3 linked regions of the Lepisosteus oculatus genome follow. The protein of the gene in region 3 interacts with the protein of the main gene of each other region in a biochemical or structural test. Links are inferred from orthologs where the notes say so. Each region holds a gene or a part of one and is shown on either strand. Other genes may lie near its edges.

What was found.
Region 1: the proteins of pex19 (region 3) and ATP-binding cassette sub-family D member 2 form a complex in vitro, tested with the Homo sapiens proteins (3 studies listed by BioGRID and IntAct, with this or other methods). The link is inferred for Lepisosteus oculatus from reciprocal best matches to the Homo sapiens genes PEX19 and ABCD2.
Region 2: the proteins of pex19 (region 3) and abcd1 form a complex in vitro, tested with the Homo sapiens proteins (3 studies listed by BioGRID and IntAct, with this or other methods). The link is inferred for Lepisosteus oculatus from reciprocal best matches to the Homo sapiens genes PEX19 and ABCD1.

What each region holds. Positions count from the first base shown.
Region 1 is NC_090702.1:37,202,711-37,213,045, forward strand, and holds the start of ATP-binding cassette sub-family D member 2, read right to left. Parts: upstream 4,831-10,335; 5' UTR 4,586-4,830; coding exon 3,650-4,585; intron 3,432-3,649; coding exon 3,251-3,431; intron 2,436-3,250; coding exon 2,314-2,435; intron 1-2,313. Other genes in the region: regulator of DNA class I crossover intermediates 1, read left to right, coding at 6,380-6,402, 8,227-8,266, 9,826-9,967, 10,154-10,289.
Region 2 is NC_090697.1:75,804,059-75,814,393, reverse strand, and holds the start of abcd1 (ATP-binding cassette sub-family D member 1), read right to left. Parts: upstream 6,594-10,335; 5' UTR 5,837-6,593; exon of another isoform or gene 5,579-5,836; 5' UTR 5,238-5,578; coding exon 4,314-5,237; intron 2,033-4,313; coding exon 1,852-2,032; intron 1-1,851. UniProt on the Homo sapiens protein: ATP-dependent transporter of the ATP-binding cassette (ABC) family involved in the transport of very long chain fatty acid (VLCFA)-CoA from the cytosol to the peroxisome lumen.
Region 3 is NC_090699.1:8,499,503-8,509,837, forward strand, and holds the start of pex19 (peroxisomal biogenesis factor 19), read right to left. Parts: upstream 5,814-10,335; 5' UTR 5,634-5,813; intron 5,224-5,633; 5' UTR 5,138-5,223; coding exon 5,086-5,137; intron 2,833-5,085; coding exon 2,729-2,832; intron 1,327-2,728; coding exon 1,161-1,326; intron 1-1,160. UniProt on the Homo sapiens protein: Necessary for early peroxisomal biogenesis. Acts both as a cytosolic chaperone and as an import receptor for peroxisomal membrane proteins (PMPs).

The sequences.
Region 1 (10,335 bases), on a different chromosome or scaffold from region 3:
CATATACATACATTTATAACTAAAAGCTACTTTTTCCCTTAACTTTTTCCCTTAATCTGTATGCAGTGGGAAAAAGGCAGAACAAAGCATCTTTGACCAGTGTCAGAAAAGGAGTTCACTTCCACTTGATCACACGAATTGTTAAATAGGGAAACATTCTGAATGTTAAGCAGATGGTGGATTATTCCCAACTAGTTAAGCTTCCCTAACAGCATTCTTAATGCCATAAACGTGATCTCAATATGAGGTTTTAAATGCATAAAGCTTTCACTTGTGCTTTCTGATGCAATGTTTAAATTCCATATTAAGAAAGGAAACATTTACAGTGTAAGCCATAACTTTTGTAATAGCAAACCCATACTGTAAGTTTAGCTCCCTGGCACTCAGAAAGTAATGAATTGTGGTGAATAACGTTCAGTCACAGAAGCTAAAAAAGGAAACTGTACAGATAGTGTAATTCTGAACTGCAATGCACTGGCTGCCTGTACAGTGTTCTAACACTCTATCTAATCTCAGTTTTAACCAAAACACGTGCTCACGTTTCCTAGAACTCTGGCACTCTTGTCTGGACAGAAGACTATTGAGCAGGCAAGCAAAATACTTTAACAGCTACAGCAACCAAATAATAAAAAATCAAAATTTATTTTGTTACACGGTAATGTGGTACAATAAAAAACTGCACATAAATAACATGGCATTTCAGCAAAAGTTTAAAGGAGAAATGTATACTGTACATTCTTGCATTCAATCAGCACATTTGGAACAGCCCCTTGTTCCAAAGTAGAAATTTGTGTCTACTTATTTAATACAGCTGCATGCTTAAGTTCCTGTAACAGGGTTTATTCATTTTATCTGTATCTCCAAATTGGATGGATGGTCAAAACTATGAATTAACAATACTGCAGTCCCTGAAATGGGTCTAGCCCATGTTAAGCTCTCAACACTGTAAATGTGCGATTATTGTGAAAGTTGTAACATTAAAATCAGCCTTCATATACAGTAGTACTTCACATCATTCTGCCCGATACCTTATACATTAATTCATGTAAACCCAGCTCTTAAAAATGACTAAAAAAAGAACAACTTGCGGATCAACAGGAATTCACTTGCCAAACTTGCCAAAATGTAATTTTAAGATGCTGCTGTTACAGCTGCTGCTGTTACACTGTTACACTGCATCTCCTAAGACTTCTGTGGATAGTGGTAAAAAGACAAAGCTCAGCGCTTATCTTCACTTGAAAGAAATTTGTCTTTACACCACAAAGGGGAAAAAACACAAGCTGAACAATCATCTGTTTGATTTTGTGCACTGTGTTTGGCATAACTAACATAGATGATGAGCCTTTGGTTGGTTAATGGTCACTTCAGAAATGACTGTCCCTAATAATACAATTCAGAAATATTACTAACAGCTAGTTTACAAATATTTAACTGATCAGGAATTAAAATAGTGATTCCAATTGTTTGTTCTTTATTTAAAAAATGGCAAATATGACACCAGTCATCACTTTCCAGAGAAAAACACGTTGCTAACGATCATGTTCCAACTTCTAGGTACTGATATTTCAAAGTAGTTGGTACTAATTAGTATAATACATACTGAGCATTATGATAATTTCATCACTATAATTCCACATAATTCCATCACTTATTACATTGTTGAACAGTCATGTCATATGTAAATTCATTATGGTATCAACAGTGTTAAGTATTTGGGGATCTACTGAGGAAGTAACAAACCAATAGCATGTGTGACTTTATTTGAACACAAGCTGTACATCACTTGAACCATCTTACTGACTGGTCTACTGTACACAACAATTAGCTTCATTTTTTATTTGTCTGTGTCACATTCCATACAACACCTTGATTGATCAGTGGTGAGTCCTGTTGAGAAGTTGCTCCGATATTCTCATTAACAAAGGCACTACTTTCTTAATAGGCAGGGGATATTGGTTCCTTTCTGTGTTTTAGGTTCAACAGGGTAAATCACCTCTTCACCCGTACCCAATCAAATCTTTTGCTAATTAGCTGACTTAATGCTTGTGACAGCACAATTATTTGAATGTAACATGGTCAGTCAAAATTTTTCAATTTTAATTAAAATGACACAAAAAGCATTTAACAGATGCTACTAAATAAAATATTTTTTAATGCTCGGAATATAAACTAATAGGAAGGCAATTTGAAAACCTATTTTTTGTGAACACATTTTTATTCTCCTAAACTCACTGAAGTGATGTGAAAACATTTAAACATATTAAAATCTAAGGCATATGAAATAAGCCACTCTGGAATACAAGTTTACCTCACCTCTTTGTAGGAAGACATGATTCTCTCTATAGCATCAGCACCAGATGCCAGGAGATTACGTGCTGTTGTGAAGGCTTCAGTTCTTTCACTCACTAAAACTTGAGTTTGGCCATCTTCCAGCTCTAAAAAAGAAACAAAAGTGTTCCTCAAAATGAATTTGTATTATATTTAGGAGACACGTGAAAAGAACAAGTAGTTTTATACATACGTTTATATTCTATTGTATTTTACACAACATGATCAAAAAACGACTAAAGCTGTTTATTCAGAAAACTACAGATGTTGAATCATTAGTTGCTTGCACATCCAATAACCTCCTTCCATTTGCTTTTTCACCCATTTTAATTTAAAAATCATATGGTTCTATAACAGATGACAACAGCCTTGCATGTGACATGTTTAAAAACATGAGTCTGATTTATTCTTCTGAGTATCCCAGTCTGGATTACTTTGATATCCCAGTCATTAAAGTAATAAGTAACTTAAATTACTTAACTGGTTCGTATTTAACATGTATTTCTATTTGAAACAACAATTATTTATTAACGTCTCTTGAAAATAATAATAGAATTGCCTTCTCTCCACCCGAACGCACTCTCAAAAAGAGTAAGAACAAAAAACAAAACTCCTGGCCCTTTAGCAACAGACTGTGACACCATAACCTCACATAAAAAATGCTACGGCAACGGTTTTCTTGCCATAAACTGAAGAAGAACAAACACATAAAACATGATGTCATTTGTAACCACTGGCATATTTCTGTGTCACATTTTAAACACATTTTGCTATTATGCGTATGAAAGGCAATAAGTAATTAAAACTCACATTTAAACGAATTACTAGTAATTAAACAATTTTAATTATCGTTAATTTACCAGTATTACGAATTTACATTATTTAAATAACTCAAAATATTTTAGAAGAATCTTTATTTTACCGTTATCAGCAAAACCAGTTGCGGTGATAATGGGTACTGCCACCATAACTAAGCCACTCCCACTCCAGACATACTTCATCAGGAACTGCTCTATCATAATATACCAGAGCCGCTTAGACAAAATAAGGTTCATCTGTTCAGCAAGGGCCTTGTAACATTTCTGCAGTTGTTTCATCTCTACCTGTTTTAGAAGAAGAAGACACATTATTCACACTATGAAAGTGGCATTAAGTATGTGTAATTGTTCAGTTTGGAAATCCTGATTTCATTTAAGTTACGTTGCTCCACTAGATATACTATATTCGTGTTTCTACAAAGGAATGCATTTTTTAGTTTTACACTGAGGAGAGACATAGCCTGAACTAAGACTGACATGTAGTGTCTCCACTGTTGTCTTACCTTATGTCCCCTGTAAAAGGCGATCTCTTCGGCGTTGGCAATGATGCGTGAATGTGCGTAACGCAAGTAACCCTTTCTGTGTGCCTCCTCCGCCACCAGTTTCCCAAATTTTGGCGAGCAGGCTCTCAAAACCTTAGCTGTGGCATACACGACGAGACCTGCCAGCAGGGTCGGGCCGGAGGCGTTGGCCCCTCTTGATCTTGCAGTTTGAATCAGGGTGTAAGAAGTAAGCATCACATCCAAAATGGGTTTTGTAAGGTTAGAGTACAAATGTGCAACCGATTGCGAAAACATCATGATGTCCTCTGTAAGGGATTGGTCTGGGTTCGCAAGTCTCCCATCCATATTGCTAACCTTATAGTAAGTCTGGTCTGTGAAATACGTTTTATATGCATGATCGACTAACCGAGTGCGAAAGGCCAAAGCAAGCTTGCACTCCAAAAAACGTATTGCGCTATTGACAAACGTGGCCGGTATGGCTATAAGGAGCCATTTCATCAATTTGATGACGAAGCTTCTTGGTTGTTTCTCTACTATTGTCTTCACGATTTTACCGTCTAACCCTGCCACATAAATGGACAAGAATGTCCTCGATATCAAGGCGACAGAATGTAAGCAAAGCAATCCGAGCTCTTTGGTGATAAGCTTTGGAAAGAGGATTTTTACAAGTTCCAGTATCTGATTGAAGAACTCGGCATTTACTCCAGGAGACCTGTTTGGCGTTACGTCCGTCGTTCCTGGCAATATTAATCCATTTTGTTCTTCAGTTTTGAGGGGTTCTGTCTTCTTATGGTCGGGTCTTCTGTTGATCTGCTTGCAAATGACAGGATACAACGTTTTCACCCCATAAGCGGCCGCCACAAGAATAGCGGCTCGTTTTGCTGCAGCTGACTGATTCCATTTCACTTTAGCTGCCGCATGCAATATATTGGACATTTTTTAACAATAGGCGATATATAAACTTGTCAATCTTGTCTGACGTCGTTTCGGTACATATCCTTCAGTCAAATGTAAAACAATAAATCAAAATAAAATATAATAAAACAACCAGAAAGAACTGAGGGAAATTCAACCGCAGATTGTTTTTACTAAGAGCCTCTGCACCACTAGACAGTATCAATTGGAGTGTTTCCGTCAATAGGTTGTGCAGTCTTTCTTCTCGGCTACTCCCCCGGAAGAAGTTGATTGGTTATTTCTGCAGCGAATGCAAATAACAGATTGTAAAACGTTTGAGATGCGCATCTGCGTTGTTCAGACTGTGTGTATGCAAAACGTAACCCTAAGGGTTCACGTGATTCTCAGTGACTGTGGTCAACATGACAGTTATGAAACAAACGACTAAGAGGAATAAGGCAGTAAAAAAGCACAGTAAAATGTGTACCTTACTTTGAAATAATGTCGCGCAAAATTTCGATATGAAGCAACATGCTTTATTTTGATGAAAACGGTGAATTTTAAAAGCACATTGAATGAATGAAGAGTACTGTGTTTGCATTTCAAAATACAATATAAAACAAAATTAAATTACACCTCCTACATCTTCACCACCATCATAATTACAATATATGCTATCGCAATACTAAAATCCCAAAAATAAAAATAATTTTTAACAACCATAATTTAAATCGCCTAAGAAACAGCAAATAGCAATTTAACATTAACCAGGATTGAATTCCTATGCACTGTAACACTACGCAACTTATGTTAAAGAGATTCAGTTTGATTTAACCTAGTTAATAATAGTACAAGGAAGGAAAACTGAAGACAATCAAGGCTGTCTGGACAAACATCAGTTTGTAACTTCTATGTGTGTAGCCAAATGTATATTTTAAACTTTATTATTAATTGCTCAGACTGAATGTGTATAGAATTCCCGGCTAGAAACAGTTTACCAAGTGAAAATAGTTAACACTGTTTTTGTTGAGACCAATTTTAAACGGTATGACGTGCAATTAAGAGCACGCGATTTCAATATCCTGTATTGCCTATACAGTGCGTCTGAAATCCACTGATGCTTTGAAATGACCAGAAATTCAATAACTTCAATAAACGAATGGGGTCCTGCAAGTCCGACGAAGGGCATACACACACAATAATTAACAGACACCAAGTAATGTAGGGGAAACCAGAGAAATTAAAAAACACATGCGAGTACAGGGAGATGATCAACCTACAGTAATTTCGCAAGAAACCCCCTCTCCCCCCAGTCTCCAGTCCAGATTAGAAGGAAGGCTACTATAACTGGGAGGATCCATGCTGAAATTGAGTTGGTCAAAATACACCATGTTGATTTGAATAATTACCCTAAATTCTCAAAAACAAATATGCAGGATCCTGCATATAGTGCATCTGTTATCTGCGCCCCCAGCCTCTCCAGGCCTCGAGGCTCCAGAATTCGTCAGTCAGATCACTTTGACTCTAAGCGCGCGGTATAAAGTCTCGAGCGGGAACGAATGGCTGCGAGGAGCGATTTATCTTTCGAGAGAAAAAAAAATTATCAAGGGTAAAATCAAGGGTATCCTTTGCTGAAGGATATCTATATTTTAAAAAGTACTTACACAATCGCCGGTTACATTTATTTCTCCTCAGCCTTATTGTTAGGTTACTGATTATTATATTAGGTTTCGGAGGTGGTGAATGAGCTCACAGTTGCTTGTCTAGTTAAGCACGATAAAATATAGAAGCAAAAAGCTAGAGACACTCGACTGCTATTTTTCTTCGAAAACTGAGATGAATTGGGTCGGAGGTACAAGGTAAGTAAAAATCAAATTCATCTTAGCCTATTTGATTAGATGGCGTTCAGCAGCATAGATGTTATTATCGATTAAGTTATCTGCTGCGTCACAGAAAATAAATGGACAATTTGTCTGCTTCTTTCCATCTACATGTAAAACTACATTATAGACAAAGTATTTTCGGTACAATTTAGGAAAACATTTTAATATGCTGTTAAATAGTATACATATTTTAATGTTTTATTCGAAAGTAGTCCGTATTGCACAGTTATTGGAACAATCAACGATAGTATGACTCACTCCAACTATAAAGTTTGACCTAAACTACCTCACAGAGTATGACACTCCATCAAAGGCTGATCCTAATCTCTAACCAAGTTGTGTATCTAATTTTATGTCATGTATCTAATTTACGCCAATCTTCCTTCCTGGGGACCCTCAACAGCTGCTGGTTTTCATTGCTGCCGAGCTCTCTTCACCATGAGTTTTTAACTGAACCAGAAGGCTGCTTGATTAGCACTCTTACCAGTTTTATTTCTACTTAAACGTTAGGGGCAGCCTGTGGCACAGAGGTTAGCATGCCTGCTTTGCAGTGTTGTGGGCTCCAGTTTTTCCCCTCAGTCCCCTGACATACTGGTAGATTAATTGGATTCTGGGAAGACTGGCTATGGTGTGAGGGTGTGGGTGGGTGTCTGTATCTGTGTGCACCCTCTGGTGGACTGGCATCGTGTCCAGGGAGTACCCCGCCTTGCACCCTTTGTTTGCCCAGAAATGTAGTAATGGATGTTAAGTTGAAGATGGTAAAGACAAGTTCCCACGTGTCTAGGAAATTGAAAAAAAAAGTGTTCAAATTAAATGTATTATTAGGTTTAATTGAGGGATCAATTATTTAACTGACTGTGCGGGGGGGACTAGTATGTGTGTGGGTCCCCTTGGTCGAGGACCAGGAATGGGAACTCGTGATCTGTGTGACTGCATGTGTGATGTGTATGATGAATGGACAGAATTTGTACTATATACAGTAGCTGGGCAAATAGCATAAAAGATGAAAGTGTTCCACCACAAAGAGCATCAAGGTGCCAGAGTGGTACACATCACTGCCTCCCGGAGCTGGAGTCTGGGTTCAGTTCTGGCCTGGGTGCTGTATACATGGAGTTTGTATGTCTGTTAAGTGGTTTGTGTGGGTTTCCTCCAGATCCTCTGGTTTTCTCCCACGGTCCAAAGACAGGTAGGTTCATTGACTTTTGTGAAAATTGGTCCTGATGTGAGTGTATCTATGTTTGCCCTGTAATGCACTGGCATCCTGTCCAGTGTGCATCCATCCTTGTGCCCATTGCTTGCTGAGTTAGGCTCCAGCTCCCCTGTGACCCTTTATTGGATAAAATGGTTAGAAAATGGATGGATGTACCACCATAACTAAGCTGGAAAATGAAGAGGAAGAATAAAACAAAATGCAAATGTGAAAGACTCACCAGTTTTATCAGACTGAATACTTTACTGCAGTGCATACAGTAGAATCCCCCCCACACTGAATCAGGAAGTAGACCATATAATGGAAATACGTTAAATATATGTTTAAAGTTGTGTTTACTGTACTTGCTCCTTAAGCAGGCTCATACTGTACGTGGAAATGAATGTTTTTTTTCTTCATAGCCGCACAATGGCTTATGGTTTCTTTTTTGTACTATTTTTAGACTGTTTCTGTTCAGTAAAATAAAACATTAGATATTGGGTATTACAGTTTTCCTTTCACATCAAATCTTACATTTGGGGAATACAAAACTTTAATTTGGAATCTGTGAATTACACATTGATTTATTGTATGTTTTATTTCATCCCCAGGAACAGATTCATGTTCAAAAATGGCATAAAAAAGCAAAAGGTAAGGCTAATATGAATGCAATATCAATAACAGTTTATATACTGTTCTTCAATTCTTCAGTTCTAAACTAAATTTGGAAATATACATTTATATAGCGTACTATAGTGAAAAAAATATATTGAAGAATAAACATCATTAAGAAAACAATTAGGATTCTTTATAAATATAATGTAAGGATAGTAATTTTATGCCCACTGCTCTGCTTTTGACAACCGACTAATCCCTATAATACAGTACATATAGTATCTGCTAAACAGAGAATCAGACATCATGAAAGCTGCAGCATTAATATTAAATATTTATTTGTTACTTAAATAATTCTTTTGTTATACTGTACTCTTTGGATCACCATCAAGGTGAAACATGTAGTCTCACTCTTGATCACTGGCCAGTACTCAAGTTGTTAATAACTAGTGGTCGGGTGCCAAGTGGATGTTTTTGATTGTTGGGGAGGTTGACTTTTTAAATTCCTTTGACAATATTGAGCACTTGAATCGGGATCTGTCGTAGTCATCTTTGTTCAAGATTTCTTCAGCCTGTCAGCATCGCTCAGGACATTCCCCTAAGCACTGGAATGTATCTGGTAGCTCTTCTCAAGAATGCTTCCAGTGCAGCTGTATTGTTTTTATGGTGACCAGAACTGGACACAATACTTGAAATGAGGTCTAAATAGTACATTGTACAGTTTTTAAAATTTTAATGTAAAATCTATGCATTTCAGGGTTATAACTTGTTTGCCTTTTTTGCTCTCCCACATCATCTAATGTGAATTGTTTGTCAACCTAAACACCTATTTCAAGCCTCTCAGTGTTTTCCATTTTGTGTTGATATTTCATGTTTTTGCTATCTGCATACATATAATTCTTAATATTTGTCTGCAAGTTTTGTAGTTTGTATTTGTGTTGTATTTTCTTGGTTAATAAGAAAATATTTTCTTTTAATTAACAATGGTGGTTCTGGTCATATTTATATTTAGATTTGTTAACGCATTTCTTATATATGTCGCTTTAGAGCCATGATTATCAGAAATGTTGTTAACGTAATTTTTAATTGCAGTTTCTAATGTGTACTATGTATCAGTTTGATAATTACTGTTAATTTAAACTGAAATGTTATAAGTTTCATTCTGCTCCATTAGGGCAGCATGGTGGCACAGTGGTTAGTATTGGTACCTTGTAGTGCTGGGGCTCTTGGTTCAACTCTGGACCTGGAGTGCTTGCTATCTGTGTGAAGTTTGTTTGTTCTACCTTTTTTGCATGGGTTTTTTCGGGGTGTTCTGTTTTCCTCCCACAGTCTAAAGACATGCTGCTGGGTTAACTGACTTCTGTGAAAATTGGTTCTGGTGTGTGTGTGTTAATGTCTGTGTGTGCCCTGTGATGGACTGGAGTCTTGTCCAGGGTGTATCCTGTCTTGCGCCCTTTGAGCACTTGAGTTGGATTAAATTAATTCTAAAACCTGTTTTGATTCTTGGTACTATGATAATTGAATTTGGATACCTAACATTCAGAAAAAAATATTTTAGTTATTCCCAAATTGAAATATACCTTTTCTTTTCCGAGGAATTTTTTGGGAAGAAAAAGCTGCAAAATAAAAAGAAGCTTTTAGGAATTTCTACAAATACTGATAAAAATAATGGTGGAAGCATGGATCTGGTCACATTATATGTTGTTAATCAGATTTCAGCACAGAAAGAAACTATTGGTAAGCAATTCATTTTTGATACAGATACCAGTTATGCACATTTATTTCAGTTACCAGTTATTAGGATATATTTGGTATAATTATTATTTATGCATTTTGTATTTGGATCTAAATTGGTTTAAAATGGTCTCTTTTACAAAATAAGGGTAAGATGAGATACACATTTCGTGATATTATTTATTGCAGACGCACCAAAAAAAGTGAAGCATTTGCATATAATTAAGGAAGACAAAGGATCTATAAGGCAGAAAATTTTAGACCTGCCAATGTCACCATGTCCACCTTCCAGACTGTGTCTTGAAGAAAGTCAGCCTCAATACAGGTAAATTAAAAGTGAATTTGAATTACAGTACCTCGGTTTAATGAAC
Region 2 (10,335 bases), on a different chromosome or scaffold from region 3:
AACTACTACACACCACCAAACAATCAGGTTGGACTCCTCTCTTGAGTTACTCTGCTCATTTTTTTAGCAAACAAAAAGAATAAAAAATCACTGAACAAGAGACAAGGGATGTGGTCATGTGAATTCCTTCCCTCTCCCGCTGGGCAAATGGTTTTCTTTCATTGCTCCTCACAGATCGACTGACTGACGGAGTCTGGCGTCTGCGTGTCAGTCATAGTCTACGCCCCTCCATGGACACGCCCGCCCCAGTTTGCACAGAGGTTACAAAACCTGCCGATATAGATTACCAACGGTTTAATACTGAACATACGTCCTTTATCTTCTGCTGCTGATCAGGCACAGGGGGAAAAAAAGTGTGGAGTAGCTCAGAGTAGCCAGTGGCAGTGATGATGATGATGAACAGAGAGACTCACTGTGCTCGGAGTAGCCAGTGGCAGTGATGATGATGAAGAGACTCACTGTGCTCAGAGTAGCCAGTGGCAGTGATGATGATGATGAACAGAGAGACTCACTGTGCTCGGAGTAGCCAGTGGCAGTGATGATGATGAAGAGACTCACTGTGCTCAGAGTAGCCAGTGGCAGTGATGATGATGATGAAGAGAGACTACTGACTGTGCTCGGAGTAGCCAGTGGTGGTGATGATGATGATGAAGAGAGAGACTCACTGTACTCGGAGTAGCCAGTGGCAGTGATGATGATGATGATGAGGAGACTCACTGTGCTCGGAGTAGCCAGTGGCGGTGATGATGATGAAGAGAGACTCACTGTACTCCGAGTAGCCAGTGGCAGTGATGATGATGATGAAGAGAGACTACTGACTGTGCTCGGAGTAGCCAGTGGCAGTGATGATGATGATGAAGAGACTCACTGAACTCCGAGTAGCCAGTGGCGGTGATGATGATGAAGAGAGACTACTGACTGTGCTCGGAGTAGCCAGTGGCAGTGATGATGATGAAGAGAGACTCACTGTGCTCAGAGTAGCCAGTGGCAGTGATGATGATGATGAAGAGAGACTACTGACTGTGCTCAGAGTAGCCAGTGGCAGTGATGATGATGATGAAGAGACTCACTGAACTCCGAGTAGCCAGTGGCGGTGATGATGATGAAGAGAGACTCACGTGCTCGGAGTAGCCAGTGGCAGTGATGATGATGATGAAGAGACTCACTGAACTCCGAGTAGCCAGTGGCGGTGATGATGATGAAGAGAGACTCACGTGCTCCGAGTAGCCAGTGGCAGTGATGATGATGATGATGAAGAGACTCACTGAACTCCGAGTAGCCAGTGGCGGTGATGATGATGAAGAGAGACTCACCGTGCTCGGAGTAGCCAGTGGCGGTGATGATGATGATGAGACTCACTGTACTCGGAGTAGCCAGTGGCAGTGATGATGATGATGATGAGACTCACTGTGCTCGGAGTAGCCAGTGGCAGTGATGATGATGATGAAGAGACTCACTGTACTCCGAGTAGCCAGTGGCGGTGATGATGATGAAGAGAGACTCACCGTGCTCGGAGTAGCCAGTGGCGGTGATGATGATGAAGAGAGACTCACTGTGCTCGGAGTAGCCAGTGGCAGTGATGATGATGATGAAGAGAGACTCACTGTGCTCGGAGTAGCCAGTGGCAGTGATGATGATGATGAAGAGAGACTCACTGTGCTCAGAGTAGCCAGTGGCAGTGATGATGATGATGATGAAGAGACTCACTGTACTCCGAGTAGCCAGTGGCGGTGATGATGATGAAGAGAGACTCACCGTGCTCGGAGTAGCCAGTGGCGGTGATGATGATGAAGAGAGACTCACCGTGCTCGGAGTAGCCAGTGGCGGTGATGATGATGAAGAGAGACTCACCGTGCTCGGAGTAGCCAGTGGCGGTGATGATGGGCACAGCCACCATGACGAGCCCTGAGGCGCTCCACAGGTACTTCATGAGGAACTGCTCCAGCATGATGTACCACAGACGCTTGAACAGGATGAGGTTGATCTGGGAGGCCAGGGCCCGGTAGCAGCGCTGTAGCTGGGCCATCTCCACCTGCAGGGACACACACACACACGTTACAACTACTGCTACACAATATCAAGCACTGTCTTCACCTCACACCACATCGAAGCACGGCCACAGCACCTCTAACTATGAAAACAAAGTGTTTTCAAATGGGAATTTTCTCGTTCAGTGAAAGATTGCCCAGTTGATAAATTGCTGAAAGTTCTGTTTTGCACAGATTGCATCTTGTTCTTGTTTTGTCTCAACTGCTGAGATGACATGGAGCACTGTGCAGTGTGGAGCAGTGGTCAGGGCTGTAGTCTCTGGAAGGCTGGGGGTTCGAATCCTGGGTGGGTCTCTACCACGTCAGCCTTGAGCAAGGCTGTACACTCACTCTTGGGTACAAATGCAAGTGGCTTTGGTAACCTGTCACGTTTCAAATGCCGAGGAAGCAGGTGACTAATGGTGAGGACTCTGTCCTTCTCCCAGGACCAGGACAAGGCCAGGGCACATGCACAGCCTCAGCTCTCCTGTCTCCTGTCCCAGAGCGCCATCTAGATTGACTGCAGCAGGGCAACAGGGCTGGACCTGGCCAGTACTGGGATTGCAGATCTCTGAGGCAAACCGGGTCGCTTCTGTAAGTGGTGCTGGTGGACCACTAGGAGGCAACTTTCCCTCTGGACCAGATGTTCCACAAAAAGTAGCTTAGTGTGCTGACAGAGGGACCTGAGCTTTTGGGTTGAGACAGTATTAACGTCCTGTCCTTTTTTTTTGCACACTGAAAACCACAAGATTCACAACAGGTGAAAGCTAGTCCCGCTGACAGGGCCAAATGCAAGGAAAAAACTTCCTACAAAAGCCCCCCGCTCATCTTAACTGGGCTGCAGTTCCTGTCCTACCCTACCCTCCAGGAACGTCACTGGACATCCTGTTTACATAAAAGATTATACACACAGTGCTGCACGTTGGCTGTGTTTTGCTTTTCTTGAGTGCGCGTAGATCGGCTCTAACATCACACAGACGGCGCTCTCGGTTCTGAGGAATAAATCCCGAAAAGCGACGTCTGAAACCACCGGGAGCAGCAGGGCATCGTGGGAAACAGGTGGTGGGCAGGACCTGACCTGTCATGGCGGCGGCCACAGCAGTGCAGCTGTGTTAGTGGATACAGGGCTGGTCTCGCGCTTAACGAGAGAGAAGCACAAGGAGATCGCAGGGCGCTACATCAGGCCATCAGAGCCAGGATGATATTTTAAGAATTCCCGCAGGCAGACTCTTTTCAATTGGTTTCCCAAAAAGCTCAATAAGCAGAGCGTGGCAGGAAATCCCGTTTGCGATAGCGTGCAGCTCTGCTTGGGTGACAATCTCGGAGATACAGGGCAGGATTGACTGAAATGGGGACAAAGGCTTTAGAATAACACTGCAGCATGTTAACTGGAGTCTCTGCACACGTGCTGCATTTTCTCAGTTCTTTGACACCACCTGGCACAACAGGGTAGCCCTGCAGAACATGACTTCCTGGGAGTAACATCATCACCTGATGTACAAGGGGGGCTGAGCCTTTGCCCACTGTACAAGGTTAAGCCAGTCTGTTCCTCGCCGGCCTTATGTAAGACCTCCCCCCCCCAACCAAACACTGTTACAATCCTGCTCTCCTGACTCCGAGCGTCTCCTTGACCTTCAGCCTCTGACCCCTGACCCACTGTCACATAGCTCTTCCCCACCTCAGGACACACACACACGCCCCACTCTCTCACACAAACCAGGAATCACACAGCCAAGCCAGGGCCAGCCTCTTCTCTGCTCCCGATCTCTGCCTGACAGGCCTCACGTTGGAAGAGACAGCAGCTCTTTGCCTGTTGACCTATTTAGATATCTCCAGTGCAAACTTACTTACGTGGCACAATGCCCAAGGCCTTCAGGTAATAAACGACCCCTACTCTCGCCAGTGTTTATTCCAACACGACACACGTTCACACTTCCACCTGCAGCAGTCTAAGGATAAAGCGCATTTTAAGCCAAAAGCACGGATCTCTGCTGTGTCCCCCCGGATCAGTGTCTGCACGCCCCCTCGCTGCCAGCTGGCTCAGCTCAGGCTGCTTGTGCCAGTGGTTGGTATCTGGGCCAGAAATGACAAAGCACATTAAACAGCTTCTAAAACCAGCCCTGCCGACGGGGCGAGATCGAGCGCGGGCACCGGCCGGCCCGACACAACGGGAGTCCCGATGCGCAGCGGGCCCGATCCGTCTCGGGTTCTACCGACGCCCTTTGCCAGCTCGGTCAGGCCCGTCGACTTATCTTCACGCAATTCTCTGCCGGCGGGCGCACTGACCTTGTGCCCCCGGTAGAAGGCGATCTCCTCCGAGTTGGCGATGATGCGCGAGTGCATGTAGCGCAGCTCGCCCTTGCGCCGCGCCTCCTGGGCCACCAGCTTGCCGAAGCGCGGCGAGAAGGCGCGCAGCACCTTGGCCGTGAGCGCCACCACGATGCCGGCGATGACGGACGGCCAGGTGGTGCTGGCGCCCTTGGACCAGGCCGTGCGCAGCAGCGTGTAGCCCGTCACCGCCACGTCCAGGATGGGCTTGGTGAGGTTGGAGTAGAGGTGGGCCACCGAGGCGGCGAAGGCCACCACGTCCTCGGTCAGCGACTGGTCGGGGTTGGCCAGCCGGCCGTCCATGTTGCTGACCCGGTAGTAGGTCTGGCGGCTGAAGTAGAGGCGGTAGGCGTGGCTGACCAGGCGCGTGCGGAAGGCCAGCGTCAGCCTGCCCTCCAGGTAGCGGATGGCGCTGTTGACGAAGGTGGCGGGGATGGCGATGAGCAGCCACTTGGTCAGCTGCAGCACGAAGGCCCGCGGGTCCTTGCGCACGATGGTCCTGACGATCTTGCCGTCCAGCCGGGCCACGTAGATGGACAGGAAGGTGCGGGAGACCAGCGCCAGCGAGTGGACGCCCAGCAGGCCCAGCTCCCTGCAGAGCAGCTGCGGGAACAGGATCCGCAGCAGCCGGACCAGCCGGCGCAGGAACTCCTGGTCCAGGCCGGGCGAGCGCCCGCCCCCGCCCGCGGCCCCCGAGCCGCGCGGCCCCCCGTTGGCCTCCGGGCGCGGGGTCCCCGCCGCCTCGCCCGCCCCGGCCCGCCGCAGCAGGACGGGGTACAGCTTCTTGACCCCGTACGCCGCCGCCAGCAGCAGCAGGGCCCTCCTGACCGCGGAGGTCCTCTTCAGCTGCGCGGGCAGCTGGGGGTACAGGACCGAAGACATGGGGGGGCACGTCCACGTCCTGGGGGGGGGGGGTTCTACTTTTTATACACGGTCTCCCCACGCGTCAGACCTCCGTCCGGTTTCCCTTCTTCGCACGCGTGTCTCTTCCTCAGCGCTGAAAAGGAGGCTCTCGCCGTGCGTGTGCGTGTTTAAATCAGATCCAGGCCTGTCCGCTCAGTATCGTGGGGTTGTAAGGGAGAGGGGGTTCCCCCCCGTACCGGACAGCCGGGTGACCTCGGGGAACCTTCTCCGGGGTGACGGCACCGTGCCCCCACACCAGCACGCAGGAACACGACCTAAAAGTCCGTCACTCCGACATCACATCAAGGGGAGAGCAGCACCTTGGAAACGCAAAGCGGAACCGTGACGTTGAACCCGCTCTAGACAGTGAACCGTTCGGAAAGGTCTACGCGCGACCTCCGGTTACATCTCGCACTTTTTTCTAATTTCTGGGGGCCCAAGCAATCCCAGCGGTGCGCTCCTCTGAGGTGTAAAAATAAACGTTTATCTTTCAGATATGAATCAACTGATAACGAGAAAACAACCCAACACAACACACACGCACGCACAGGAGGTCGAGGGGCGGCGAGGAAAGCAACCTGTCCCAGGTGACAGGTGGGCGTCCAGGCGGCGGGGTCCCCCAGAAATGTCGCTTCAGTCAAACTTCAGTCTGACCTTCAATCAGGCAGCTCGCAATCTCTCTCTAAAGAGAGGAGCAAGAACTCAAAGTTATTGCTCGAGCAGGTGTACCGTGTACACCTGTATGATTATGTAAGTTACATAACTACGTCAAACAGCGTCAACCTCCTCGATGTGCCTGGTGTCCTCTGACGGTATTCTACCCCGTGTCGCCTAATACCTGCAGTATATAAAAGTTGTCGTTATTATAAGAAGCTACAGTTGGCCGCCCAACTGTTGACAGCAGCGCGTTTCCTGAAAAGAGAAAAGTTGCAGGACTTTGTTGACAGCGACACTGCAATACACACGGAAACAAAACGAGTCCCGGGCGCAGGAAGGGTGAAGTCGCTGGCTTTTCTGTCCAAAGGAGAAAAAAAAAGTTTTCGCTTTTTAAGCCTTCCGTAAAAAACCCTCGGTGAACTTTACGCACCGACTGTTCGCCGTAAAAGAGGGAAAAAAAAAAAACAAGTTTCGAAACTTGTTGGAAGTGTGTGTGAAAGGGGGGAGTCTATTCTATTCGCTGCAAATACATCCGAGTCTCGAAATTCGCCCCTCGACGCCGGTCAGTCCCGCAGCGTCGATCTCGGTATCGGCACCCCCAAGGGCGGCTGCAAGTCCGCTCTCCTCTCGCTTCTGCTTTTCTGCAACTGTCAAAGACGTAGGAAGTCCTCCACCTATCCCACAATCCCCCTCGCACCCGGCTTTTCTGGACGCTCTTCATGCGCGACTGAGAGTCTATGGTGGCAACGTGTAAATGTGAGAGCCGTAGGTTAACCATCTGAAAAGTTTTTTTTTTTGAAACACCCGAATACTTTCAGAAATCACGCCACCTCACCGCGCTGTGCGTAGTAGAGCTGTAGCTGAAAACATTAACCCGTTTGTGCCTTTGTGGAGTCTCAGCCTTTAAAGGACTTTTTTTTAGCTAGCTGAACGATATCAAGAGCAATGAACTATTTCACCTGTTGCAGTCATAATGCAGGTGCATGGATTAATAGATATAGGCATCCAGGTCTCTGTGTCTGTGTGACTGCGTCTGTCAAATATTCAGTTTATCAAGCTTTATTGGCATGGCTTTGTTTTCTAGTAAATACTGCTTCATCAAGGTGGGCAGAACTATTTTAACTCCTTTCTACAAATCATTTACTTAAACTGCTGTAACATACTGTCCTACCTGTTGGTAGGTGTGGTACAGTCGATGACAATATTGGTCCCATAAACTGTAACAGGTTGGTAAAAGCACTGACGATGAGCAGCAAAGCCATCCTATCTTCTACAGAGGGTTTGTAAAGAAGGCTGAGTGCATCTCACCCCCACCATGGTGAATTTACACTCCTCCCCTCTGGGAGACACGTGTAATGGCAAAGTTACAGCCCCCTGCAACCTGACTCTCCAACGATGTAAATATCAGTCTCTCCTGAGCACCGGTTGTCCTGAACACTTTGTGGTTCTTGTATTGTTGTGCAAGAATCTGCCTGAAACCATTTCCCCCAGGGATCTGGAGAGACTTCTTCCTGGACAAAGATGACTGAACTCTAAGAGAGACCCACAGAGAGACAGACACACACCTGGGCTTTAACAAGACACTTTATTAAAAAGATGATATACAGTCCCTCTCCCCAGTACATATTCAAAAGTGGCATGATTTTATATTCAATAACTTCTCTTCGTCCCCAAAACACCTGGTATTATTGGGAGGCGAGACCCAAAGGTCAGAAGTAGCGATAGAAATGCAAGCGTCTCTTCTTTATAATAGTCTTCTCTATCTACACCTTTCAAATTACAATTCAAGTCATTGTGGAAATGTCAAGATCAGCTGCCTGTACCCCTGGAAGTGAACTGTCGGCCCTCCCACAGTCCTGCACAGACCCTGCCTCTTCTCCGCAGCTCTTCCATGCAGAAGCGTCAGTCTGGACACAGGAGTCCGCTGTGGCGCCGCGAGTGGCAGCGCGGACTGAAATCACATGCACACACAAACACGCACACACACCCCCAGACACACACACCCCCACATCCCCCCCCCCCCACACCCACACACACCCCCCAGACACCCCCCCCCCACCACTCCTCGTGCACTGCTGGTGAAGCCGAACTCGACTCAGGGCAGTGCCGTCGCAAAAGACCTGCACGCCTCATGGAAATGTCTGTAGGCAAATTCTCAACCGGATGAAAAAGGGGAAAAACAAACAAACCAGCCCACATACCAGCTGAGGCTACCAGGCCTGCAGCCCTCCCAGTCCGCTCCCCAGCCCGTCGTACTGCAGGCTGCGTTCCCTCGAGGGCCTGTCGGATCTGTGCACTAGCGGAGCTGCAGCACGGCGGTGGAGTGGAGAGGAAGGAGCTGTGGGCTGGCGCAGAATGGAACTGCTTGATTAGCCCGCCAGAGGACAGGGTTGTTAATCGCCATGTATTATATACATACATGGATATTGACAAACACATTACAAGCAGTTATGTATTGCTTTAAAACACTATGCAAACTTCAGTTACCCATCTACTGCACAGGGAGACTAATGATCTCTGAGGAGATGTGAAGGCTGCCTGATCATAATTCTTAATAGTGGGGAGCAGTGGACATCATGGTACTGCGGATCAGCACTTCAGCAGGGCTGGACCGACTGACCAGGTAGAACTGGTTCAGCCTGTGTAAGACAGCCCTCTAGTGGTGAGAAGGAGTAAGGCAGCAGGGGTTGAAGGAACTGCTGGTCATTCCTACGCGTCTGGGGCAGGAACGGACAAGTTCAAGCCTCCAGGGTGGGAGTCTGTCAGGTTTTACAAGTAGAAGAATCACGGATTAGGGACCGGAGGAGAAATCAAAACCACAGGACCCTGTCACTTACCCTCAAGGACATGGGGTGCACATCCCCTGGTCTCGGAGAGGCCCAGGAGTTTACCAGCTCCTCTTAAAATAGGGGGGGCTAATTAACACTTTGAGTTAGTGACTTTTTTATCACTGAAGCTAACGGTTCAGCTGTTCCTGTTCAGCTCAGTCCAGCTCTGATCCTGGAAGGATGCAGGTAAGAAGCTCCCAGTTTTGAAGCCTAAACACTGACGATTTCCAGGGAGAACTTCAATGGGCTCCACTGGGTCGGAGCTCTGAAGGGAAAGGGCTGGAGATCACGAGCCTGGATGAGCGCTGCTGAGAGTTCAAGCACAGCCTGCTTTATAGGCGCCTTCACTGCAGGAACCTGCAGAACTAGGTTTCCCTTTCCGATGAATCAGGAGGGTGGACCATGTAACTACACTGTCGTCTAACCGTTCTGTTCTCTCCTCCGCCCAGCTAACCTGATCAGCCCACCGGGAGCCACGTCGAACCTGGGGCCAGGGCCGTGGGCAGAGCCTGCCTCGCTGGAGTGGGGGGTCAGCTGCTCTGCGGGGTCTCGTATGCTGGTGAAGGATGTGGGGGAGTCACGGGCTGGAGCCGGAGGTAGCCACGCTGCTGCCGCCATCATTGCAAAACGCTTGCGCAGGCTGCGTGAGGAGTACCGCACGGGCGAGCGCGCGGACCGCGGCGCTTTGTTGAACGCCCTTCCCTGGCGAGAGGGGTGGCGACGCATGCCGGGGTCCCTGTGGAGTGCTGGAGTGCTCCGCAGGCCTGCGCCCGACAGGGCACAGTACAAACCCACGCCCAGATCCAAACCAACACAGGGGGGCCCGATACTATCCCCTTCTGGGGTCACCAGCCGACGCCTATAGGGGGTGCTGTTGAAAACAGAACCCTCCTTGTTCTACTGGACTGCAGAAACTGGCCCGGCTCGCCGGGATCGGCCCAGAGGCGGATTAGCTGCGATTCCACCCAGAACACAAGCCCCAGCACTACTTGTAACCCACTGATGTCAGCGCTAGGTGTGCGGACCTCTGGCCAGTGCGCCGCGAGGAGGCGGGAGTCTCTCCCCCCAGGCCACGGCGGTAACAACTGGACTGTTCTGCTTACAGGGGCACAGGGCAGCAGGAAGATACTGGACAAGAAGAAAAAATATTACTTTATAATTTAATGACATAAGACCGGCTTATGCTGGCACCCACAGTGCAGGGTGGCCTGTACGGACGGGAACGTGCCAGGAGCCTCGCGCCCTGCAGCCCCCTCTCCCAGCACCGGGCGCCATCCATCCCTCCCGCCAGGAAGAGGAAACCACATCCCTGAACGGTCCAGGACAGGCTCTCCTCTCGAACTGCAGAAGGGCAGAGGATTGTACAGTGCATCTCAGTCACTCCTGTCCACAAAGGTTCTGCCACAGTTTCCCCAAGGCTTGTTAGAAGCAGTAGTTTGATTCCTGTTTTTTGGCCGTTGAGCCTAGAAAATACCACACTAGACACGGGTATCAGCTGGCACCCTGTGTCTGAAATAAGGTCATCCACTAATTTATGAAGTCTGTTTCACTGTCAACGATGCATCCTGTTCGATGCTCTTCCAAGCCAGCGA
Region 3 (10,335 bases):
AACCTCCCACCTTTCACCTTTGTGGGTGAAATGTTCATTTAGATCATTTGAAAAGGGAGCTGGTATCCTACATATCATCCTCATTCCTCTGTAGTCCGCTACAGATGTTTTCCAGCCTAAAATCTGTTTTTGTGCTCTTATAGTGAGATGGCAATGTTTTAAGGCAGGCTGCAATTATGTCTTTGTAGAGGATAAGCAGAACCCCAAAAAGAAAACAGTTCCTATTATTGAGGCATCTCCCCTCATCCTGTGCACAGTTGGCTGAATAAAGAAGAGGCTTGAACCATCTCACGCCTGGCTTCTGTATTAACCTGGATCACATACAACAGTACCAGACGATGGACTGTGAGGGACCTTCGCTCATCTGGTCTGTTCCTGATGGGAGGCACTGAGCAGTGGTGAGCATTGCCGCCCCACAGTGCTCAGGCCCTGGGTTCAATCCCAGACTTGATGTGCTATCTGCAGGGAGTCTGTATTTCCAATGGGTTTCCTACAGATGCTCCAGTTCCTTCCCATGGTCCTAAGACATACTGACAGGTTAACTGGCTTGTGGGAAAATCGGCCCTGGTGCGAGTGTGTGCGTCCGCCCCCAGCCTGAACTGGATGAATTGGTTAGAAAACTGATGGATGGATGCGTTTTGTGTCGACTTCAAAATCCTCATGCTCACCTATAAGGCCCTGCATGGCTTGGCACCTCAGTACCTGTCTGAGCTACTATCGTCCTACTCCCCACCTCTCAACCTTCGCTCTTCTAATTCTGGTCTCCTGGTCTGTCCCCCAGTCCTGTCTACACTCTCTGGGTGACAGGACCTTCTCCTGCTGTGCTCCAGACTTCTGGAACTCTATCCCTAAGGATATCAGAGTCACCTTCAAATCTAGACTCAAAACCTTCTTTATAGAAGGGCCTTTACTTAACCGGTTCTTATTTACCCTTTTGCTCCTACCGTATTCAGTACCCCGTCTATTGTCTCATTGTGTCTATCTTGTGTACTTTTTTGTCGTTGTCGTTCTGTAAAGCGCTATGAGAAGGCACCTTTAAAGATGCTATATAAAATAAAGTTTATTATTATTAGATTCCCGATTCCCAGATTTCCCCACTCCTGGTGGGGGGGTGGGCGATCCCGGCCAGGCGGACGGGTGGGTGGGGGCGGTAGACGTACCCACTTTGCCGGCCGCCTCCGAGAGCTTCTGGAACTGCTCCACCAGGTGCGGCTCCTCCTGGGCCAGCTCCCTCATGGCCCTGTCGAACTCCTCCCGGGCCTGGCTGGCCAGCTCCCCCTCGAACAGCGCCTCGAAGAACTGGTTGTCCTCCAGCAGCGGGGGGCACTAGAGCAGCCGGGGAGGGGCGGGGAGACGGGACAGGTTGGGATCGACAGCTCCCAGCGCACACGTTTGCACGCGGCGACGGGAAACGGGAACGATGGGAGGCCCCGGGATCGGAACGAGCGTGCATCCTTTATCCAGGAGCCAGGGGCGCCGGCAGCCATGATAATTCCGGCTCCAACAGCGTATATTCAAGTGTACGTCACTGGAATCTATTTATTCACTCTGGGTGTTGCCCTGTCATTAATATTTCCTTTCCAGCTGAGGGCTGAGAGGCGGGGTTGGATGTCTACAGCCACATCCTGCATTCTGCTCAATAAAGTGATCAGGAAGGCGGGCTCTGTGCTGGGGCTGAGCCTTGAGCCCCTGGAGGTGGTGGCTGAGAGGAGAACGCTGACCAAGCTCACAGCGATCGTGAACAACGCCTCTCATCCGCTTCATGGGACTGTTATTGGGCAGCGGAGCACTTTTAGCAACAGACCGCTCCTGCTACGGTGCTCAAGGGAACGTTTCCGCAGGTCTTTCCTCCCGGCGGCTGTCAGGGTGTATAACGCTGCCCTAGGCTACGACTGTCAGCCCTTCATTTGCTCCTCTATGGACAGCATGTTGCTCCATTGTACTTTTTTGGACACTCAATCTATATATACCTGTGCACATTTTGCACATATTTTATTGTTTTTACAGTGACTATGATCTATGACTATGACTATGCTTGTCTTGGGCTGGGCTGCTGTAACACATCAATTTCCCTTCGGGATCAATAAAGTCTTATGTATCTATCTTATCTATCTATAAGTAAGGGGCTCTACAGTGTAAGATCAGCACTATCTGTGCGTGAAGAATCGTACAATAGAATCGGACCTGACCTGGGTTCACTCCTGCCAATGGTCTGAAAAATACTGGACTCAGAAATAACCCATAGGCGGTGATCACCTTATCACAAATAGCCACTGTGCCAAGTGTGGAAGTATTTTGTCTAGTTCTAATCCGTCTGCCTTGGTCACTAAACACCCATTCATAATTAGGGAGGTGACAGAAAATTCCTGCAAAACTGCTTGGATTCAGAGCACCACGGGCGAGACACCTTATGTGCGTCGTCTTTGATATTCTCTGGAAGTGGCCTGAGCTAACCTGGCCTCACTGAACTGCGATCCGACTTCTTGCATCTCGGCATCACGGAAATGTAGGCCTGAGACGGACTGCATGAGCAGGAGTGCGTCATTTCAAATCTCAACATGGATCACGGCAAATTTATATACTAGTTAGTCTATCAGTTTAATTTGGGATCCTCTCATCCACTGGAAAAATGGTTGCCGCTTGACGCAAAACAAAACGGGGGCACAGGAGTAACTTTTACAGGACTAGATCAAGGTCACTTAAGCAAAGCCAGTGAAGACCGACTCACTGTCTCCTTGTCACTGGCAGCAGCAGGGGGCGCTGCAGTCGGCTCTCCCTCAGAGCTGGGGGCCGCGGCGCAGGGCTTGGTCTTCTCAAAGTCGTCCAGGGCACCTGATCAAAAACGAAAATTGAAAACCGTCAATTAGGAACAGAATCTAATCCGGTCCCGACTCGGGTCGTCTCGCTGGCGGCTACTGGGATTATTCAAACGCAGACGCTGGCACACAGCTGGCAGGAGAGAAGCAGGTTTGCGAGGTCACTGTACAGCTGCAGCGCCCGAGCCGAGGGTAACTCTTCCAGTGGTCCAGCCAAACCAGTAACCAGCCAGTTCTGTTGAGAGCTGGGATGGGAACCAGTGGACACACCTGCACCAGGGATGGACTTCTCTGCTTGGGTCCCACAGGAATTTAGCTTGAGACCCAAATTCAATTTGAAATGGCTTTATTGGCATCATGGATGAACTGAAGTGCTGCCAAAACTTTCAAGACAGACACTGAGTCTCTGCTTCAGACTGTGACAGGAGATCACATACTGGGCTACAGATCTTTTATTTTTATTGTTATTGGAGATGGTCACTGTCTAATCCTCACGCTGTGACAGGAGATCACACACTGTTTTAGTATTGAGAGACTGGCTTACTATCTGTTCCTCAGGCTGGGATATGAGAACACATTCTGTATTATTATTATTATTATTATTATTATTATTATTATTATTATTATTACTGAGAGACAGGCTCACTGTTCCTCGGGCTGGGACAGGAGATGACACACTGTATTATTATTATTGAGAGACTGGCTCACTGTTCCTCAGGCTGGGACAGGAGATCACACACTGTATTATTATTATTGAGAGACAGGCTCACTGTTCCTCAGGCTGGGACAGGAGATCACACACTGTATTATTATTATTGAGAGACAGGCTCACTGTCTGTTCCTCAGGCTGGGACAGGAGATCACACACTGTATTATTATTACTGAGAGACAGGCTCACTGTTCCTCAGGCTGGGACAGGAGATCACACACTGTATTATTATTATTATTGAGAGACAGGCTCACTGTCTGTTCCTCAGGCTGTGACAGGAGATCACACACAGTATTATTATTATTATTATTATTATTATTATTATTATTATTATTATTATTGAGAGACAGGCTCACTGTTCCTCAGGCTGTGACAGGAGATCACACACTGTATTATTATTACTGAGAGACAGGCTCACTGTTCCTAAGGCTGGGACAGGAGATCACACACTGTATTATTATTATTGAGAGACAGACTCACTGTCTGTTCCTCAGGCTGGGACAGGAGATCACACACTGTATTATTATTATTGAGAGACGGGCTCACTGTCTGTTCCTCAGGCTGTGACAGGAGATCACACACTGTATTACTATTATTGAGAGACAGGCTCACTGTTCCTCAGGCTGTGACAGGAGATCACACACCAGGCTGCAGCTCTATTGAGTTTCCTCCCCCAGTAGGTTCAGAACTGGTTCGGATTCCAGCAGAATTCTAGGAATCCTGAGGATCGATTTGTTATTTTGGGGAAGAATGTACGTCTGACCCCAGGCCTATCACTCTGCATTTAAACTACACACAGCAGTGGGTTGTGCCGGGGGGGGGTTTCCGAAAAGCACTCAAGTTTTGAGGTCGGATCTGTGATGGGCAGGAGCGACACGTTTTTAAACGCCGCGGTAGTGCTAGACACAGAACAGGGCTGCGAGTCGAAGGACGTATAGGGTCTTGACTGTTCAACATTAACAACAGCCATCATAACCACCAGCAAATATCGATTCCCAGTCGTCAGAGTTAACAATCAGGTGCATCAACTCGGGTGCATTTTACATGCTGGTGCTCCCGATTCCAAAACGGGACAGCGACACACGAGTGTAGTCTTACCTGACATGCATGCCTCACTTACTGCTATATACAGCAAGAGTATTCGCAATCTACTGAGCTGATATCGTTAAATGTGGCTTAAGTGTTAAAATGTTGAAATTCTGGCATCAACATCCGACTTGAAAACAGCAGACACTTCTTTAAGTGTCATTTTCTTCTCAAAGCAATGGCAAGTATAATAATAAACTGCTACTACAGCTTCAACTGCCTAACAGAGATAACAATAACTGCGGCAATGCTGATAGAACCAGCTTTAAAAAATAGAAAAAACCCTTCTTTTTTCTCTATTTCGCAAAACCACTCGTTTAATCATTCTGCGTTTCAACTGTCTTGGGTGACAGGTTACACCGTGTACTCTGTTCAGCAACCAAAATTTTCACACTGGGACGCCCTCTCCTTCACCGATGAACGCCAGCTACTCCTTTGAACATCCGACATTTACAGAAGAAGTACCGTCCTTACTGTCTAACAACTCGTCCAGTTCATTATCCTGCGCCTCTGCTGCCGCCGCCATCTTGAAAGGTGCCCTGGTTAGGTGATGTCAGCGCGGAAGTCCGATGCCGGCCCTTTGAATTCTGGGTGCTGTAGTTTTTTTCCGATCTATTTTAAACGGGTTTTATTCCAACTGGGCATATAATGAACTATTAACAGTGCAATAATGCATAATATAAAATCTGCATGTATAAAACAAAGTATTCAATACAATCATACAGTACAAAGAGACAATAAAAAAAATCTAAAAATTGTAAGAGATCAGGATTACAAAATTGCAATCCGCAGCATTAAAATTCGTTCGAGGCAAAAACAAAAAGTTTTCACAGACTTAAAAATAAGTGGAGATTCCAGCAGTGTCATGAGCCCTTAAAGGAAGAATATGCAATACCAGTACTAAGTTATTATTTTTAATAATTAAAGTTATGAGGAGCTCCACTCTTTAAAATCCCCCCGCCCAAAAAATTACCTGGGAACAGGCTAGTTGGAAAAAAAAACAATAACAACCCGTCCCTCACCCCTTCGTTTTTCGAGGATGTAGCGGTCGGCAAAGTTCTCATTGTCCGCTTTGCACCTAATTAGGAGTTTGGTTTTCCTGTCGAAAAAAAGAGAAAATGCTTTACGGATAAGGCGACTTAAGAGATGCCTGACTTCACCGAAGACCTTTCCCCTGTGTGAATGTGGCTTTTGTGAGGCTTCAAGTTCTGTTTCCTACTATTCATTTCCGTGAACGCGATGGCTCATAGCCGGCGACAATTCCCCCGGATGAAATTGTATTGGACGAGCTGCGATCCGTCTCGCTCTGAATACGGACGGTACAAACACAGCACCCCTGGTCGTATGACCACATACGAGATTAATATTTTAAAGACATTACCCGTGTATGAATACAAATCATCTGCTTTCATGAAATAAAGCGTACCGTTTAACCGCTGTTGCGTGTCTGGAAACAACATTTGTGTTCTAACGGTTTGTCTTATCAATAAAGTATTGAAGTATTCTGGCTTCATTAATTTATTCTTCAACAGTTTGTCTTGAATAAGGTACAGATAGAGAAACTGCGCGGGCTTCTTTTTACTGTCTCTGCTCTGCCTCATAGTCTGAGGGCTTTAACGGCATAAATGTACACATTCTGTACCTATAAATACCTGTGCTTCTCCTGAGATTTCACACTGGAGTACCTTGACAGGACTTGTGCAGCTAATTCAGTATACAGATTATTATTTGCAATAATGAAAATACTGTAGTGGTGTATTCAATACAAAAACAGGACAAACGTGTGAAAGGTATCTTGTTTATCTCCTTTGCAAATTCTCATTGGAACAGACAACATATGGAATTTTCAAAACACCTTTCTCTTAGCGAGTTACTTAGGGTTAATGACCTTTGTGTTCTCCTTATTTAAACCCTCAAATAAAATTAAAGACATTTGAAGTAAATGAATTAATCGTAACCAATTCTGTGATCCAGCAACATTTTGCATCAGAGTAACTCCTTCTTACTCCCAGCTAATAAGAGTACCAGGTACTTTTTTATAGACATAGGGTGCCTTCTGTGTGGAGTTTGTAGGCTCTCCCTGTGTTCACAGGCGTTTGCTCTGGTCTCCTCTCACAGTCCAAGGAAATACTGGTGTGTTAATGGGCTTCTAGGAAAGCCGACGCTGGTGTGAGTGTGGACGTCTGTGTCTGTGAGTGCCCTGTGACAGACTGGAGTCCCATTCAGGTTGTAAACCACTTTGCACCAGTTGCTCTCTGGGATGGGCTCCAGCTCCCCCGTGATCGTGGAGTGGATAAAGTGGTTTGAAAATGGATGGGCGATTCACTGGACACTCAGCCTAGGGGACAATCGTCCATTTTCAAAGTGGTTACTTGCCAACCACACCCACAGAATGGATCCAGAAAGAATCCAGAGCTAAACTCTGTGCTCTGTGGCTCAGGATCTGCGCCTGTGGCTGGAAGGTTGCCGGTTCAAATCCTGCAGCCGGCAGAGGAATCCTACTCCGTGGGGCCCCTGAGCAAGGCCCTTAACCCCAACTGCTCCAGGGGTGCGGTACAATGGCTGACCCTGCCCTCTGACCCCCAGCTTCTCTCTCCCTGCCTGTGTGTCTCATGGAGAGCAAGCTGGAATATGTGAAAAGACAGATTCCTAAAGCAAATTCATATCTTATCTTATAATCCACAGAATGGATCCAGAAAGAATGCAGAGCTAAACTCCTGCCAAGGGGTGGCAGTGTCACAGGATTCGTGTGGAAATGACGGATGAGCGAAGATATTGGGCAAATGGAATGGAGATGTTAAAGACAGTCAGAGTTCCATAAGAGACAGCGGGTCTAAGCCGAGGCAGAGACATGTAATGTTCCTTCTCAAGCTCAGGAGACACTTCCAGGCTGTCAGATTGTTTTCCTAAAGAAAATAAAAAAACTAAAGGAAGGGGAGAGTTCTACACATTTCCCCACAACAGCTCTCCCCTCCCCTTGACCCACCCAGGGATAAAAAACATAATTTAAACAAAAAATTACATAAACACATACATAAAAAAACAAAAAAACATAATTTGAAAAACAAACCATATTTCTAAAAATCCATTGCCACGGTATGATGTGTAATTTCTTGCACATAATTTACAGTTACAGTGTGGTTCTTTCTTTTTTGCCTTCTAGTCTCCAATAATATGAATATAAATGAAACATTCAACAATACAATAAAATGTACCAATATAAAATTGTGGTGATACTATAAAATATAAAAAAAAATATCACTTTCTACTTCCCTCTTTGACAGCCCCAGTTGCACAGAATACAGAACCCAATTTGCTGAATGAGCGCAGTGCTGTTCCTTTGTTTAATTCTGACAGTTATCTTTAAGTTGATGACCTGTTATAAAAAGATAGCAATGGCAAAAGGACAGCTCTGGTGTTTTCAAGTACTGTACTGGCACTGAAGTCATCAAAGATCACCAAGTCTCTTCTTCCCATTCCCAGGGACTCAGCCGAGCTCAGAGAAGAGAGTGTCATCCTACAGGAGCCTTGCGCTGGTCTTTGCCATTCTGTGGATCAGCACTCGCAGTGCTGGAGTGGGTTTCTACTGTGAGTACCAGCAGGGAGCAGTTCAGTGCTGACACTGGGAAGAATGATCTCTATGGCATATTGGTAAATGTATAAAACAATGCATATGTACGTTTGGTTGAACTTTCTTATACGAAGAGTAAAGTCAGAAGTGTTGCAAAATGCTATGTTGATGTATGCAATATAGTATAGGACAAGCGTAGAAGTATGATGAAAAGCACTGCTCTGTCACAGTCCACGAGAGACTTTCGGCTCCCTCTACCATATGTTAATAAAGTTTATTGTATAACCCTGGAGGAGGGGGTAGCTGTCAGCCGTGGACTCCCGGAGGTTTCCTGACAGATAAATGAGGTTTTTCTTCCCCCCTGTGCTGTGCAGCTTTTTCTATGTGCGGTACTATCTCGGTCGACATCCTACCCCTAGAGGGCACTCTACTTCATTCCTTTTCCTAGTTTTGTGTGATTATTCATGTTCTTCCGGTGTGTCTGGTTTCCATTTCCTATTTAGTCCCTGTGTCTCCAGTGTTCCTGGCTCAGCATTAAGGTACAAATGTCGCGAGGCCCGCTTAGCACCAGGTCACCCCACGTCCGTGTCCTGAGGGCATATGCCTCATCCCCAACACCGCCTGACTCCTGAGCCGGGAGCTGTGTTTGTCCCGCTTTTTGCCGCTGTGCATAGGGTCCCTACTGTTCATTCCACGGCTGGCCTTTCCGACATCCATGACTGCTCTATCTGAATAATGTTGATCTCTGGTATAGTCTTTGATCTTCTCATAACACTGGAAGGCTATAGAAAATTGATGGCTATTAAACACAGGTCCCCATTGCTGCAGGCAAGCTTTTCTTTACATCTCCAAAAGGTCTGGATGCTGTCGTGGGTAGTGTGCAGCTTCTATGTATAAATGTGAAACTGTGTGCAGCGCTACCTCACCTCAACTACCTCAACAGCTTCCAGATGTCATGCGTTTTTCTGTGTCCACACCGATTGTCAAACAACAGGCTTCTCAATCCCATGGTTACCACCAATATAGTGCTTTGGCCCTGGCAGTGTGGGCTAGGACTTGAAACATAAATCTAGACAATTAATAAATTTCCAGTTTGCAGAGGATATGCAATTTGTCAATGAATGTTTAGAAGAAAGACATTATACGAGCTCCCACCAATCACCGGATCAACAGTGCAGAAATACAAGATTTTTATCGGACAGTTCTGACTGCCACTTCTACATGGCCAGACTTGGGGGTCAAAATCCCCAGGGTATTAATCAGAGAATGCCAACTTCTCATCGCGCCAAATTGTACTCGAACATCCTTTCAAAGAATCCCACTCTAACCACCAATGTCACTTCCTGGGGAGGGTTCTGACTGGTTAGTCAACAGGTTGGATTACCAAGCTATTGTTCCTCAAGCCTAGTGTAGTAAAGCCTTCATTTTTTGTGTGAATCATTCAACTGCAACACCTTTTAGGGTGACAGTGTGTATCTCTTATAATACCACATATAATGAAGAATCAGTATCTGCAAATGCTGCAGTAGATAGATATTCTATTGATCCCCTGAGGGGAAATTGCTAAATGAAATGATCATTTGTGTAATTTGTATCTCTGAGGAGACAGATGATACTCACTTTCTTTTAATATTTTTGGGATTTCAGTCAACCGTGTTTTTGCTGAATCACATAAGTTTATTTTGATTTGAACTATTTTATTGTTATACTTAGTCTTAATACAGCTTTTATATTAGTATTATCTTCAACCAAAAACAAATGATAATAGATTCTTTCACCCAGTAGTAGTAGTAGTAGATTTGTTGTAGATTACAACCAACTTCATTTTAAAAAAGTAAACCAAAAATAAAAAAAAGTCTTTAATAATATACTGTTCAATAAGTGCTGATGTTCTTGCCAACAGGAAAAGAAGGAGTTGTCCCGACACCAGGTAATTTAAATTGACTATTTCCTACTGACACTTGTTTTTCTCAAAAGTCTACTTAATTATTGTTTGGAATAAAATTTAAGCACACAATTCAGAGGGGTACTAATGCAGATAATACATTAATGAAAATAAACTGGAAATACGAACAATATAAAAGGGATTGGACAGGATTAATGTGTTAAAAATCTATGTAAAAGAATGTGAAAATGACAGTTAAAATTAATTG